4 linked regions of the Cricetulus griseus genome follow. The protein of the gene in region 3 purifies or fractionates together with the protein of the main gene of each other region. This does not show direct contact. Links are inferred from orthologs where the notes say so. Each region holds a gene or a part of one and is shown on either strand. Other genes may lie near its edges. The genes, in order: Dis3l, Zfc3h1, Exosc5 and Hbs1l.

What was found.
Region 1: the proteins of Exosc5 (region 3) and Dis3l purify together in Homo sapiens (affinity purification with mass spectrometry; 5 studies listed by BioGRID and IntAct, with this or other methods). This does not show direct contact. The link is inferred for Cricetulus griseus from reciprocal best matches to the Homo sapiens genes EXOSC5 and DIS3L.
Region 2: the proteins of Exosc5 (region 3) and Zfc3h1 purify together in Homo sapiens (affinity purification with mass spectrometry; 3 studies listed by BioGRID and IntAct, with this or other methods). This does not show direct contact. The link is inferred for Cricetulus griseus from reciprocal best matches to the Homo sapiens genes EXOSC5 and ZFC3H1.
Region 4: the proteins of Exosc5 (region 3) and Hbs1l purify together in Homo sapiens (affinity purification with mass spectrometry; 3 studies listed by BioGRID and IntAct, with this or other methods). This does not show direct contact. The link is inferred for Cricetulus griseus from reciprocal best matches to the Homo sapiens genes EXOSC5 and HBS1L.

What each region holds. Positions count from the first base shown.
Region 1 is NC_048597.1:175,922,886-175,926,450, reverse strand, and holds part of Dis3l (DIS3-like exonuclease 1), read left to right. Parts: intron 1-380; coding exon 381-535; intron 536-637; coding exon 638-816; intron 817-2,552; coding exon 2,553-2,698; intron 2,699-3,403; coding exon 3,404-3,565. UniProt on the Homo sapiens protein: Catalytic component of the RNA exosome complex which has 3'->5' exoribonuclease activity and participates in a multitude of cellular RNA processing and degradation events.
Region 2 is NW_023276806.1:140,718,271-140,721,835, reverse strand, and holds part of Zfc3h1 (zinc finger C3H1 domain-containing protein), read left to right. Parts: intron 1-294; coding exon 295-426; intron 427-790; coding exon 791-1,333; intron 1,334-1,424; coding exon 1,425-1,534; intron 1,535-2,590; coding exon 2,591-2,722; intron 2,723-2,817; coding exon 2,818-2,939; intron 2,940-3,565. UniProt on the Homo sapiens protein: Subunit of the trimeric poly(A) tail exosome targeting (PAXT) complex, a complex that directs a subset of long and polyadenylated poly(A) RNAs for exosomal degradation. The RNA exosome is fundamental for the degradation of RNA in eukaryotic nuclei.
Region 3 is NC_048602.1:9,460,891-9,464,897, reverse strand, and holds the start of Exosc5 (exosome complex component RRP46), read left to right. Parts: upstream 1-1,194; 5' UTR 1,195-1,242; coding exon 1,243-1,390; intron 1,391-3,907; coding exon 3,908-4,007. Other genes in the region: Bckdha (2-oxoisovalerate dehydrogenase subunit alpha, mitochondrial), read right to left, coding at 604-690. UniProt on the Homo sapiens protein: Non-catalytic component of the RNA exosome complex which has 3'->5' exoribonuclease activity and participates in a multitude of cellular RNA processing and degradation events.
Region 4 is NC_048595.1:268,535,289-268,539,305, reverse strand, and holds the start of Hbs1l (HBS1-like protein), read left to right. Parts: upstream 1-1,196; 5' UTR 1,197-1,333; coding exon 1,334-1,376; intron 1,377-3,965; coding exon 3,966-4,017. UniProt on the Homo sapiens protein: GTPase component of the Pelota-HBS1L complex, a complex that recognizes stalled ribosomes and triggers the No-Go Decay (NGD) pathway.

The sequences.
Region 1 (3,565 bases), on a different chromosome or scaffold from region 3:
ATTTTTAATTCTGAGCCGGGCAGTGGTGGCACATACCTTTGATCCCAGCACTTAGGAGGCAGAGGCAAAATTGATCTCTGTGAGTTTGAGGCCAGCCTGATCTACAGAGCAAGTTCCAGGACAGCCTCCAAAGCTACAGAGAGACCCTATCTCGGAAAAAGAAAACAAAACAAAAACAAAAAAAAACAAAAACAATTTAAATTTTGACAGTCTTTCTTTGTTTAAGCCTTAAAAGCAAACTAGATTTCTGTATTGAAAAGAAACTTGTGGCTAAAATAAATTTAACTGCTGGTAGATGAAGATATTTAAATCAAGGAGTAGAAAGTGTTACATGTAAATTGCCTTTGGAGACCCATCAATGCATCTCTGTTTCTTGTTAGGTCCAATAAAACCCTGGCTGACTCTCTGGATAGTGCAAATGACCCCAGCGACCCTATGGTGAACAAGCTGCTGCGCTCCATGGCCACCCAGGCCATGTCCAATGCACTCTACTTCTCCACCGGATCCTGTGCAGAGGAAGAGTTCCATCATTATGGTGACTGACAGCATTGTCTTACGTATGGCTTAACCTTGAGCAAATCTTTTCAAAAGTGCTCTTGTCTTTCCTTTACTCTGATGCTTTGGTTTCCTTTTGAAGGTCTTGCATTAGATAAATATACTCACTTTACTTCTCCAATAAGAAGATATTCAGATATTGTTGTACACCGACTATTAATGGCAGCCATTTCAAAAGACAAGAAGATGGAAATGAAAGAAAGTTTGTTCAGCAACAAAGATCTTGAGGAATTATGCAGACACATCAACAACAGAAACAGAGTAAGAAGGAATTTCAAACTCCTACCTGTCTCATAAGAGGGTATCAGCTTTACTGCTTAAGAGAATGAGAATTATTATTGTAGCCAATGCTCTTAATACATTTACTAGTGTTCTGAGATAACATGACTTGTGGAATACTTGCTCTTTGATTGTTTGTTTTTGAGACAGGGTATCATTATATAGACCAGTATGACCTGTGCCTCCAAGATCCACCTGCCTCCCAAGTGCTAGGATTAAAGGTGTGTACCACCATGCCTGGCAGTTTTGTTTTGTTCAGATGAGGACTCACTGTTATTTCCCCAGGCTGAGTTTTCTTTCACTCAGGGGACTCAAGTGACCTTCCAGCTCAGCCTCTGTATGTTCTATGCCAGACTTAGCATTAGAGGCCTGTCCCAAAAGGTAGAGATATAAAGGTTCAAGCAGCTGGGTATGGTATAACCCCATCATTCAGGGCATGCAGGTTTAAAATTTGAGGCTAGCTTGATTTACATTAGCAAGATACACATATGTGTGTGTGTGGGGGGGGGCAGGCATGGTGGCAGATGCCTTTAGTTCCAGCACTTGGGAGGCAAAGGCAGGCAGATCTGAGTTTGAGGTCATCCTGGTCTACATGGTGAGTTCCAGAACAGCCAGGGCTACACAATAGTGAGATCCTGCCCCCCCTCAAAAGTTAGCATTGTCTAGAATTTTGGAAGGGGGGGAGTGAGACAAGGATTTTCTTTTTTTTTTTTTTTTTTTTTTTTTTTTTTGGTTTTTCGAGACAGGGTTTCTCTGTGTAGCTTTGGAGCCTATCCTGGCACTTGCTCTGGAGACCAGGCTGGCCTCGAACTCACAGAGATCCGCCTGCCTATGCCTCCCGAGTGAGACAGGGATTTTCTATGCAGTCCTGGAACTCACTCAGAGATCCATCTGCCTCTGCCCCTGAGTACTGGGGTTAAAGGCGTGCGCAGCTGCTGCTGCTGCCAGCACCACCACCACCACCTCGCTTAATTTTTCGTATCTTTAAAACCTCTTAAATTCTATTTGTTTATTGTGTTTATGTATCTATACATTCAAGTGAAAGTCAAAGGACAATTTGTGGGAGTTGTTAATCTCTTTCAGGAGTTAGTTCTTGCCTTCCACCTTGTCTCTGAGACAGGTTGTTTCTGCTGCTGCACTGTGCACTCCAGGATAGCTGGTGAGCACAGCTGTGAGCTTCTGGCCAAGTCTTCCGTCTCTGCCTTTCATCAGTGATAGGAATGCTGGGATTACAGATATGCACTACCATATCCAGCTTTACATGGGTTCTGGGGGTTGAACTCCGGTGATAAGGTTTGCACAGAAAGAGCTTTTACCCACTGAGGAGCCTTCCCTTCACGTCTTACCTGCTGCTTGATCTATTTTTTCTTTTTCTTTTCTTTTTATTTTATATTTTTTTTTATTTTTCGAGACAGGATTTCTCTGTGGCTTTAGAGGCTGTGCTGGGACTAAAGGTTTGCTCCACCACTGCCCAGCTTTCTTTTCTTTTTTGAGAAGGTATTGCTGTGTCTCTTCTTCTTTGGTTTAGTTGAAACAACAGCTTACTCTGGACGGCAAATCCTCCTGTCTTGGTCTCCCAAGTACTGGCATTACAGGCTTGCACCACCACACTGTTGAATCCCATCCATTTAAAAGCAGTTTCTGTGGGAATGAGTTTCCTGTTTCTTCCTGGGTGTCAGGGAACTCTGTTGTCATGCTCCAGGTTGTGCTTCTTACAGGCAGCCCAGCATTCTCAGAAGCAGTCCACCGAGCTCTTCCAGTGCATGTACTTTAAAGACAGAGACCCAGAAACAGAGGAGCGATGCATGGCCGATGGAGTGATTTATTCAATTAGAACAAATGGTGTGCTTGTATTCATACCAAGGTATGTTACTTCTCATGCAGTAATTAATGAGAAATCACAGTTAAATTATACCAGTGCTGAACACAATAGATATATATATAACTTACTAAGATATTTATTTAGACTGGGGGTGTGTGGCTCAAAGGTGGAATGATTGCCTAACACATATGAAGTCCTGGGTTTGATCCCAGATAGCATAAAACCAGGTATGGTGACATATGCCTGTAAAGCAAGATCAGAAGTTCAAGGTCATCTGTAGCTATATAATGATTCTGATGCCAGCTTATATGAGTCCTTATCTCTAAAAAAGAATATAAGCTTGGCATGGTGGGATATGCCTTTAATCTCAACACTCAAGAGGCAGACAGAAGCAGATCTCTGAGTTTGAGTCCAGCCTGGTCTTCAAAGCAAGCTCTAGGCTAGCCATGTCTACAGAGTGAGATTTTCTCAAACTATATATTAGCATATGCAATGCTACATATATACACTATTCATAAAATTACTGTATGTACACAGTATACAGTAGTCAGAAAATAATGGGAGCAATTAGGAGTGCATATATATGCATATCTGTATCAGTCTTAGGATCTTAGCCAGCAAAGCATTGTTTCTTATCTGCTTCTGTAAAAATGTTTTTGGAAGTGAACCACAGGAAGAGTGGCTAAGCATAGAAGATCTGCAAACTAAGAATACATTATCTCGGTTTTACCCTTTTGATGATTTTAGGTTTGGAATTAAAGGTGCTGCTTATCTGAAGAATAAAGATGGCTTAGTGATCTCATGTGGCCCAGAAGGCAGCTCAGAATGGAAGCCAGGATCCCTGCAACGATCTCAGAACAAGATCACCTCTACCACAGCTGGAGGGCAGTCAGTTACATTTCATCTGTT
Region 2 (3,565 bases), on a different chromosome or scaffold from region 3:
TACTGGGGTCAGATGGCATTGTGTCCCCTGTAGCTGGAGTTACAGGAGGTTGTGAGCTGCCGGACTTGGGTGCTAGTAACTGAGCTCCAGTCCTCTGGAAAAGTTAACTGCTGAGCCCCAGTATTGCATATCATCCCACCCCCCCTCGTTTTCTCTAAAGCAAAGGGGGAGAAAATTGAACTTACACCATCACCATATATGTAACCTGTGGTCTCTTATTGAGACATGCTGTTAGGATATTGTGTTTGAGAGGTTATTTCCTAAGATTTTCATTTATATGTTTTCTATTTTCAGATTCACAGAGTTCAACAGCGTGTTACCATTAAGAAAGCTTTGACTCTGAAGTATGGAGAAGAGCTTGCTCGGGCAAAGGCAGTGGCCAGTAAAGAACTTGGGAAACGAAAACTGGAACAAGACCGCCTTGGAGTAAGTTGCTTATAGGAATATTTTTGGAGTGGAAGTTTTTTGTTTTGTTTATGGTATTTGCAAACTAAGATGCATAAAGTAACTTCAACTTTGCTGCAAGTTCAAAGAGAACAAATTATATTAATATCTCTATAAAATCTAATGTATATTTTTAAATGATATCTGCTTTTAAAATTTTTTTTGCATTGGCTTTAATTTTTGATGGTTATAGATTAACTAGAAAAAGTATGTTGACTTGTTGTTTGGCTCTCCTTGTCATTCAGTTCTGTGATGTTGGTATTATATTCTAGTGATATCACAATTATCTTGTGAGGAATTATATATGATTGCATGAAGTGTTATAAAATATTTACTTTCCCCCCAGCCAAACAAAATGATGAGATTTGATAATTCTCCAATATCAAGTCCAAGAAAGCATTCAGCAGAATTAATTGCTATGGAAAAAAGACGATTACAAAAGCTAGAATATGAATATGCTTTGAAAATTCAAAAGTTAAAAGAAGCCCGAGCCCTCAAAGCAAAGGAACAACAAAATCTTGTTGCAGTTGTAGAAGAGGAAGCTGAGTTTTCTTTACCTCAACCATCACTTCATGACCTGACACAAGATAAATTAACCTTGGACACCGAAGAAAATGAGGTTGATGATGAAGTTTCCTCAGGTTCAAACAGAGAACGAAGAAGATCCTTCCTAGAGTCTAATGCGTTTACTAAGCCCAACCTTAAGCACACTGACACCCCTAACAAAGAGTGCATAAACAAACTCAGTAAAAGTACTGTAGAAAAGCCAGAACTTTTTCTAGGGTTAAAAATTGGTGAACTACAAAAATTATATTCAAAAGCTGACAGCTTAAAACAGTTGATTTCAAAAACTACCACAGGCATTACAGAAAAGACTCTGCACGGTCAGGTAAGTGGCATTTCATAGTCTGTATAAAATCTAGAGTTTTCTCAATGCCTCACTTGTCATGTGGAATTATTGTGATGGTTGTTTTTTGCAGGAGATTTCTGTGGATGTGGATTTTCTTACAGCACAGAGTAAAACAACAGAAGTGAAGCCGTGTCCTTTTAGACCCTACCAGAGCCCTCTTCTAGTCTTTAAGTCTTACAGGTAAAAAAGAGACAGTTAATAGTTTGAGTTTCAGGGTTACTCTGGTTCTTGATGTTTTACGTTGAATATGTGTTAATAAATAGAAGCATTTGAATGACAGTCAACTGGAAAACAAATCTTTTATGAGAGACAAAAATATGTTGTATTGCTGTTGTTCAGATCATATCAGAAAGTGCAGTTTAGTGTGTTCTTTGGATTCAAATTCTATTAAGTATTATAGGACTAGAATCTCATGGAAAATTTTATTATTTTTTAAGATAGACACTCATGACATAGCTGTGGCTGTACTGAACTTGCTTTTTTGGCCTCAAACTTGAAGTAATCTTCTTGCCTCTGCCACCCAAGTGCTACAGCATATTATAGGTGTGTGTTACCACACCTGTTCAATTTAGAATTTTTAATTTTAGCATTGGCCAGCCTCTGGAATGTTGACTTAGACATTCTTAGATGGCTAGTGTTGTCCCACAACATTTTCAGAATGCCAGAAGTTGTGGACTGCTAAACGGGTATGGTTTTATGACAAAATTATAAAGCATTTAATAGGCAGCATAGGCTCATACGCTAGCATTTGTATTGGCTGGTAATGTATACAAAAATACTAGTAAATAGCATTTTGTAGTGTGGTAGAAAAAAACCCCTTAGGAATGGCATTGTTTCTTCTGTATTCTAGTCTTAAAGTGTTTTGGTTGTTGTGGTTTATTTGTACTAGGAATTGAACTTAGGGCCTCATACATACGAGGCAGCTCCTCTGCCACTGAATGCTTCCCAGGTCTTTGTTGTTAATGAATTGGAACCTTCCTACATCGTCTTGGCTTTCTTTGAACTCAGTTAGGCACCATGTCATTCAGTTTTCTACGTGATGTCTCTTGTGTTTCCATTGTAAAAGTAGTTGATTCTTTTTACTTATATTCTGGCTATTTGTAGTTACTTGTGGTTATTGATTTGATTAGGTAAACAGGTGTAGAAGTTTTAACTGAGAAAGAAAAATTTAAGAAAATGTCTAGCTCTTAGAGAAATGTGTATGGACTATGATGTGCCTATTCATTTTCTTTCTAGATTTAGTCCTTATTATCGAACCAAGGAAAAGCTTCCCCTGAGTTCAGTGTCATACAGTAACATGATTGAGCCGGAGCAGTGTTTCTGCCGATTTGATTTAACAGGGACATGTAATGATGATGATTGTCAGTGGTGAGTGGTTTTTATTTGGAAGAAACCTTTAGAGAAAGTCATGGTTCCTTGATTAGATAAATACACGGTTGTCTTTTGCTGCTGTTTTATTTTAGGCAGCATGTACAAGACTATACACTTAGCCGAAAACAGTTGTTCCAGGACATTTTGTCATATGATCTGTCGTTGATTGGCTGTTCAGAGACAAGCACTGATGAGGAAGTTGCTTCTGCAACAGGTTTGTAAAGTTTTTGTTGAACTTAGGGAAGTTAAAAAAAATCATATCCAGTTTATGGCATTTTTAAATAACCCATAATTTAGTACATTCACTTGTAATGCTTAACCTATATTTTCCCTATCATACACAATAGTCGCAAGCCACATATTGGCCTTTAAATGTAAATTTAAAGGTTTTTTACTTTTATTTATTGTGTATACAGTGCTCTGCCTCCATGTACACCTGCACGCCCGAAGAGAGCACTAGATCTCATTACAGATCGTTGTGAGTCACCATGTGGTTGCTAGGAATTGAACTCAGGACCTCTAGAAGAGCAACCAGTGTTCTTAACCGCTGAGCCATCTCTCCAACCCTTAAATTTAAATAAAAGCATAATTCATCAGTCTTACTAGCCACACTTAAAGTACTGGCAAGTGCTGGCCAGTAGGACTGCAGAGATTTAAGACGTTTCCATTGTTACAGAGAGTTCTTTAGTCATCCAAATGGTTTGGTTTATTAGGGAAAAAAAAAGTAACACTTGAGTAAGTAGCTTATGATGACTAGACTTTTACTTTCTTTTGCTGTTTTCAAAAGCACAGGAGGACTAAAGTCTTTAGCCTCCAAATCCTGTAGTGAAGTAGAAAGTA
Region 3 (4,007 bases):
TTGTATACATAATAAATAAATAAAATCTTTTAAAAAAAATATGGGCTGGAGAGAGATGGCTCAGAGGTGAAGAGCACCGACTGCTCTTCCAGAGGCCCGAGTTCAGTTCCCAGCAACCACATGGTGGCTCACAGCCATCCGTAATGAGATCTGGTGCCCTCTTCTGGCAACAGGCATATGTGGAGGCAGAATGCTGTATATATAATAAATAAAATCTACAAAAAAAGGAATAATTTTTAAAAAACAACGTTGACAAAGGGTCCTGTGTGGATTTCTCCCTTCATGACATCAACCAACATACCCCGATGGCCTGTGACAGTGATCGCGCCCGGGCCCCCGCCTTCGCTTCTGATCGGGGACCGCAGGGGTCCAATCAGCTTCTTGCTCACCCAGCTTCACAAGTGGAGTTTTAAGTAACGGAATAAAGAAACGTGGGGCTGATCCTGGCCCACCCCACCCCCGGTTTTCTCCCTCTTCCCCTGACTCTTCTCTCCAAGGAGCGTCCGCGTCCTTTTCTTTCCTTCACGACCCGCACACACCGTAAGAGCAACCTCTGCGTCCGCAGCCACCTCGGGAGGGACCCCGTGGGGCCCAGGTACTTACGGATCTAGCCAAGCCCCGCGCCCCAGGCCGCCGCAGCGACAGGAGAGCAGCCAGGCCCCGGCTCTGTCTCCACATCGCCGCCGCCATCTCGCTCGATAGCCACGCCTCCTCTCTCCCCAGCTGGACCCGGGGCTGCCCCACCAGATGCCGTCCTCAAATGCCGGCACGGTCGGGCCAACAAGCGACTTCACTCCCACCGCCGTGAGTCCAAGACACGAACCTAAGTGCGCGTGCCGATTCTGATTATCCTCCGCCGTGGCTCTAGCCTTCCGCTTATAGCGGCTCCGATATCAGGCAGGAAAGGGACACCCTGACCACAGGCTCACGGGTTGAGGGCCGGGGGGCCTTGGGCGAGGTGGGCCTATTCCAAGACCCGCCCCCTCTCCTTTCTGGCCCAATGGCTTTGCGAGAATCGGGAGGCGGAGGCGGGGCGGGACCAGATTGTTAGTAAACGCTCAGCCACGTGCCAGGGACGAGTCAGGCGCCGCCCAGGCTGGCGCATGCGCAGCGGCCACGCAGCCGCTGCGAGCCGGGCCCGCGAGCCGGCGAGCCCGCGAGCGAGCGAGCGAGCCAGCGCGCGCGTGCGCACCACGGGGGCGGAAGCTACGGCCGCAGGCGGGGCGCGCGTGCTCGGCGGCGATGGAGATCGCGAAGCGTGCGGACGCCGAGCTGGGCGCTGGCACCGCCGCGGAGCCCGGCCCGCGGAGTCCCGGCTGCAGCCTCCGGCATTTCGCCTGCGAACAGAACCTGCTGTCCCGGCCGGATGGATCTGCTTCTTTCCTGCAAGGTAAAAAGAGCCTGATCCCCAGCCCCACTGTGGGGGGCTTGGGTTTCTTGGTTTTTGGGATTTTGGGGGGGACAGGGTTTCTCTGTGTAGCTTTGGAGCCTATCCTGGCACTCGCTCTGGAGACCAGGCTGGCCTCGAACTCACAGAGATCCGCCTGCCTCTGCCTCCCGAGTGCTGGGATTAAAGGCGAGCGCCACCAACGCCTGGTGGGGTTTGTTTTCTTTTCTTTTTTTTTTTTTTTTTTTGGAAGAGCGGTTACCGTGTAGTGTGCAACCGAGTGCGCCCATCTCTTTGAAAAGAAACGAAAAAACTATTTCTAGATACGTAGGAGGGGTCCACACCTCTTCCCCGACTCGAAAAAACAACCAAAAAAATATTTGATACGTCCAGCCTGGAAGGAATCAGGGGCAAGAGCACGCCCTAGGAAGAGTGGATATTCCAGAACAGGTGTAATTTCACCAAGGCGAATAGGCCCCTTGACTAGATTTCCTTCCACACACTTCTCCTGGATCGGTACACCTCCGGTTGAGGCTAAGGTGTTCGTTTGCATGCATTCCCTTTGAGAAGGACTTGTCATCGCCGCTGGGTCAAGTGCGGTGACAGCAGCAGATGACTTGGTCCACGCGAATGCCCTTCACATTGAACGTGATGATCCCCATTCTGGACCCACAGGTATCTCCCCTTCTCCCATCCCATCATTTGAGTAAATGTGTCTGTTGCTTGGTGTATTCATCTCATCAGTGTAAGTGATTGTAGAGAGAAAAGAGGCGTCTCACGACTGACACCCACACAACCCTGCCTCCACCCAATGCCGGTCAGCCAGCTTTGAGAGGTCGTGGGAGTGTGAGGAGCTATCAAAAGTAGACAGATTGGGCCGGGCGTTGGTGCCGCACACCTTTAAATACCAGCACTTGGGAGGCAGAGGCAGAGGCAGGCGGATCTCTGTGAGTTCTAGGCCAGCCTGGTCTCCAGAGCGAGTTCCAGGACAGCCTCCAAAGCTACACAGAGAAACCCTGTCTCGAAAAACCAAAAAAAAAAAAAAAAGATGCCCCAGCAGACTACCCTACAGGCCAGTCTGATGGAGGCAGTTCCTCAGTTGAGATTCCCACCTTTCAGATCTGTCTAACTTGTGCTGAGTTGACAAAACTAGCCAGCGTAGTATCTTCACTTAAAAACAGGATTCATAAAAATGGGGTACGTTCCCCAGGGAGGTAGAGGCAAGGCCAGGTTCACTCAGCTACATAGCAGGTTCAAGGCCAGCTTAGACTGTCTAGGGCCTGATCCCAGAAAATCCAACAGTGAAAACCTACAGAGCCCATGAGCCTGTCACCTGCCTTTGTTGGCTAGCCATCTTGTTTTTTTGTTTTGTTTTTCCCTTTGGACTTTGCACATGCTAGCATCCCTAACCCCTTGGGTTTTGTTGTTTTGTTTTTGTTTGTTTGTTTGTTTTATGGCTCTCCCTGGTGCCTGAGGAGGTCGGAAGAGTATGTTGGGTCCCCTGGAACTGTGGTTACAAACCTTTGTGAATCGTCTTCTACAAGAGCGACAAGTGCTCTTAATTGCTGAGCCATCTCTCCAGCCCACCTGTGATTCACTTATACACATGCATTTACCAGTTTGGAGTTGTGGTATAGAGTGTATTGGTCATTGGGCATTACGGTCAAAATCATGTGGAAACCACTGTTTGAGTGCAGTGTCTTCACTTTGTAGATGGCTTCTCTGTAGCCCACAGAGGTTATCAAAATCACACAAGGGCCTGGAATAGGCAATCAGGGCTAGAAGCCAGGCTTTTTTTCCTCCAGACCCATTTATGCCATTCTGGGAAAATGAGCAGAGATTAAGATCCCTACCCAACGCAACTACAGACCCTTTTTTGTTTGTTTTTTGTAAGGCCTTTTAAAATATTTTTAATAGTATATATTAATTATATGTAACAATGGATTTCTTTTTGGTTGGTTTATGAGATAGTCTTGTGTAGTTCAGGGTGGCCTCGAACTCAGTATGGAGCCAAGGATGACCTTGAATTCCTGACCCTCCCGTCTCTGCCTCCCAGACACTGGGAGGATATACGTGTGTGTGCCTGTGTGTACGGGTGCCCAAGAAGGGCAGAAGAGGGTGTCCATACCTTGGAGCTGAGTTACAAGGTGATTATGAGCAGCCTGCGGGTGCCGGGAACTGCATTCTAGGCTTCTGGAAGAGCAGTGTGGGTGCCGACCTGCTGAGCTATCTCTCCAGCCCCAACTGCTTCTAAAAACTCACCAGTAGCTGAAGTCTGGGCTGGGCTCTGGACTCACTGGCCAGCATCCTGTGTTTCAAGTATCTGTATCTTTTTAAAATGGGTATTTATTTGATCTTGTTGTGTGACACTGAGAGACTGGGCTTACTGCTTCTGTGAGCCACTGTCATGTGATCTTGACAAAAGTGCCTCGAGGGAAGGACTGCAGTAGTCTCCAGTTACAGATGAGAAGGCAGAGAAGAGAGTTGGTGTGGCAGAGGCCTCTGCTGATGTCTCCCCAGGTGACACCTCTGTCCTGGCTGGAGTGTACGGGCCAGCCGAGGTGAAGGTCAGCAAAGAAATCTTCAACAAGGCCACACTCGAAGTGATCCTGAGGCCGAA
Region 4 (4,017 bases), on a different chromosome or scaffold from region 3:
ACTGAGATTAAAGGAATTGAACCACCATATCCAGCACATTTAATATTTTTCAGCACCTTAATGTTCTGTGTTAAGTTTCCTTACATGGGCAAATATAGTTTAACAACTTTACAAATTAGATAATATATGAGTAAGATAATATCTTCACTTACAAAGAGATAGGCTGCAATGTAGAAATTATTTAAAGGTGTAAAATAAAACACTTAAAAACCGTATAAAATTAGCATCTACATTTTTTTGCATAAAATTTTGCCTTGGAGCCATTAAACAATGATAGTTAAGAATAACCATTAAGTAGTCAGAATTCAAACCTGAGCCATTTACGAATATGAATTTGTGTTTTCTCATTATCTGGATAAGAAAAGCTGAGTAAGGTAGAATTTGACATTTGCCTTTGATACAAGGTCTTGGCATTCAAAAACAAGCTACAACAAAGAGGTTGTTCGGTATGATAATGAGGTTGATGCTTTTACACAGCATTATTAGCCCTATGTTTTACAAAACGAGGATGTTTAATAACAGGTTATAGATTTATGTATTATGTAATACATCATGAGTACCCAAGGCTAATGCTGTGTCTGAAAAGCTTGTACTAAACGCTCTTAGCAAGTTCACATGTTTATGTATTCAATCAATGCCCAAGGCATAATCTCTTAATTATTCCGTGTTAATGAAAATAGTTTACATAGCTAAGGCCAGACAGTTGTTTACCAGAGCTGTTAAGGGAGGATGGAGCCCATATCTGAAGCCATGAATTACCCACAAAGCATAGTGACCCAGTGTAGCTGTATTTTAATTACTTGTTTAGAAACTTTTTCTCCCTCTAAAGCTTGGACTAATTATTATGCCACATTTACACACTATTGTGGACGGATATCGTTTGTATCTACAGTCTAAAAGCTGAAACAGAATCCTTGGTCCTTGCTCTTATTGAGCCAAATTGGCAGCTTCCCAAAGGATCAAAAGCCAAATATGGAAAATAATCCTGAACGCCGGTGGTCAAAGATGCCTGCATGTCACGTTCACTGTCAAGCAACAGCGTGGAGGTAGCTGAAAGAATTTCCGGCACTGAAATCCACGTCAGTCAACTGGCTTCTGGGCGCCGCCCGCCGGCTCGCGAGTGCGCGTGCGTCCTCGGGAGGCCGGCTGTGACCCTGAGAGCTTGCCGTCGCGTAGTGCGCAGGTATGACGTCGCGTCTGCGCAGACGCTTGGCGCAGCGGCCTGGCGGAAGCCAAGATGGCGCGGAAGAGGTCTCTAGCTCGCGGTTGGCGCTTTATCCGTGTCTAAGCCGAGTTCTTTGAGAGGACCGTGGCTGACGCCCTGTGTGCCGCGATGGCTCGGCATCGGAACGTCCGAGGCTATAACTACGATGAAGGTGAGTGGCAGGGCCGCGCCGGGCCGTCATCTTAGCTGTAACAGCTGGGTTCCTGGCCTCATTATCTCCGCCTGGATTGGAATGACCCCGGAGCCACACTAGAACTGGGGTTTGTGTCGAGGAGGGGAGAAGGTGGGGGAAAGGATTAGGACATCAGTTCCCAGGGAAGAGAGAGAGAGTGATGGCTGCCTTCTGGGTTGACCTTATTTACGGACGGGTGACAGTGTGGCATCTCAAGGGCCTACGATGTTTGGTGGCGACGTTGGGATCCGATGCTCTTTGGTATCTAAACGTTGCCTCTTTTCTTATTGTTTCATTTGGGGACTCACGCGCCAGTTTCTAACTTTTGTCTCATAAGCCCTCCTTCACACGTGCCCACGAGGCATTACTTACTTATAAAACAGGCTGGCTTAGTGCTTGCATTCGACCGACCTGCTAAAACTATTAGATTTATATAATATCTTGCCTGTGTTCGTGCGTTTTGACTGCATAACCTCGCTTGACCTGAATTTTCAGCGAATTTCAAAATTCGGAACCTAAGAAATGGAAAAGATTCACGTTTAAAAGGCTCAAGAAGTTAAGTCGTTTTGCTGATCTTCAAGTGTATACTCAGTATATTGACTGCTATACTTGATGTAAATGTATTTTAAAATGGAAATATAAAGCAACACTAGAGGGGAGAGCGTGTAAATAGACTCACTGATGTTTTTAATGAAAAAAATACATATATTAATGTATGTAAGGAGTTAAAAGTGATTTTAGGAAGACTTGTTATACATGAGTGGATAATAACAGGTATTTATCAAGCATCATAGAAGCTAAAAATAAAAACAAATGTGATTAAAGACCTACTGCTTTCGGGAACATGTAATGTTGAAGTCGGATGTTATTGACACCCCTGGGAGATTGTGAGCATCAGTGTACTTAGGCATGGACAGCTAACACCCAGTGCTGCATTTGAAGACTTGGACCCAGTAGGTCAGGGATGTCTTACTTTGCAGACGTTCACCGTCAGAATATTGTAGTGGATATCTAAAAAATGCCTTCCACTCCACTCCCACTGAGAAATGACTTTAGACTGGGAGAGATTTTGTAGATATGAAATAAAGGACACCCATCCCTTTTGTATTTTATTTCCTCATCCAGTGATAACTGAGTACTTGGAGTACTGCGTAAGATACTCCTTAAGTAAGGACTGTCTAAAGGGAGCAGCTGGTTAAAACAAGAGAGATTCCACACAATGTAATGACAGTGCTGTGGGAGCAATGTAAAAGAAAACGTCTAAATCAGAAAGGGTCAGGATTTCTTCGTGAAGTATTTGACAAGAGTTATATGTCCTCTGAGTCAGTGCTAAATACCTTTTATCTTGGCTACCAGAGGTCAAGTTATATTTCTTTGTAACAATTGGTGACATCATAACCAAGCCTGCCCTGTCCTGTCATGGATGTTTTTTGCCCTTCCTGCTTACGAAAGTGTAAATCATTTTCAGTGTCTAGTCTTCTTCCCAGTTAAGCTTCCCTTTGGGGTTTCAATAATTAAAAATTCATAAAAGTATTTTAATTTCATTAGTCTGAGGTCTAAAATCTATTGGTTCCTCTTTGGTCTTAGCCTTTAAGCATGCTGTACCTGTTTCTTGAATGCCCTAGAAAGATGGCTGACTCTCTCTTTTGGAATTGGTTTGAGTATTCTATTCTTGGGGAAATTCTAGTTTTCACATGTGTGTTCCCAGATTGCTCTGTATTTTTCACGGTGAGCACTTGTCATACAGTTTTGTAGTCACCCTGTTCTGGGCTATTAGACTTTTGGAGTTGACAGAGCTGGAGATGTACACACTTTGTACTGAAAATGTCTCTGTAATAGTCTCTGGTATAAATTTATGTTCCTTGCAGGGTTTTTAATAGTTTGTCTCATTAACTGGTGAACACATTAATTTAGTGCCGCATGTATGCCAGGTACTTGGTTAAACTAAGTTTTTCCTGTAATTTCTCATGCATTGAAACATGAGTTGTGCTTTGAAGACAATAAATTAAGAGGAGGCTGCTGAAGGTAAAGGTTGTAAGGAAGACTATTGGAGCCTTACCTAGAGAAAGAAGCAACCTTGGGAAAATCTCAACCAAGAACATACTCCATTAAGACTGACTTACTCCACTTACAAGCTCCATTTTAAGACTTAACAGTCACGAAAGTCAGGCTTTCTGGTTCTCCATGAAGAGTGACTTTATGGCTGGATTGTATACCCTATAAAGATATTTGCCTAGAGTGCAATGGGTGGCTTACCTCAGGTTTTGTGAAGTTAGACAATTCACATATATCATCTACAGGATTATTACTGGATTTTGGTCACATGAAAGATGTGAGAAAATTAAATAAAGCCCAATTAGCTTAAAAACAGAAGGCCTATGTATGTTTTAAAAGTATACATTGTCAGTAATTTAGATTGTTATTAGTAAATATCTTGGAATTTATGGAAAAGTAGACATTTAGGTTTCTTGAAAGTTGGTATTTTCTTATTTTGTAAATTATTCAGGTGTTTGCTCATGAATAAAGAAGACATGATTGAACTTGTAATGAATCTATTTTGTGTTTTAGATTTTGAAGATGATGATTTGTATGGCCAGTCTGTGGAGGACGATTATTGTAT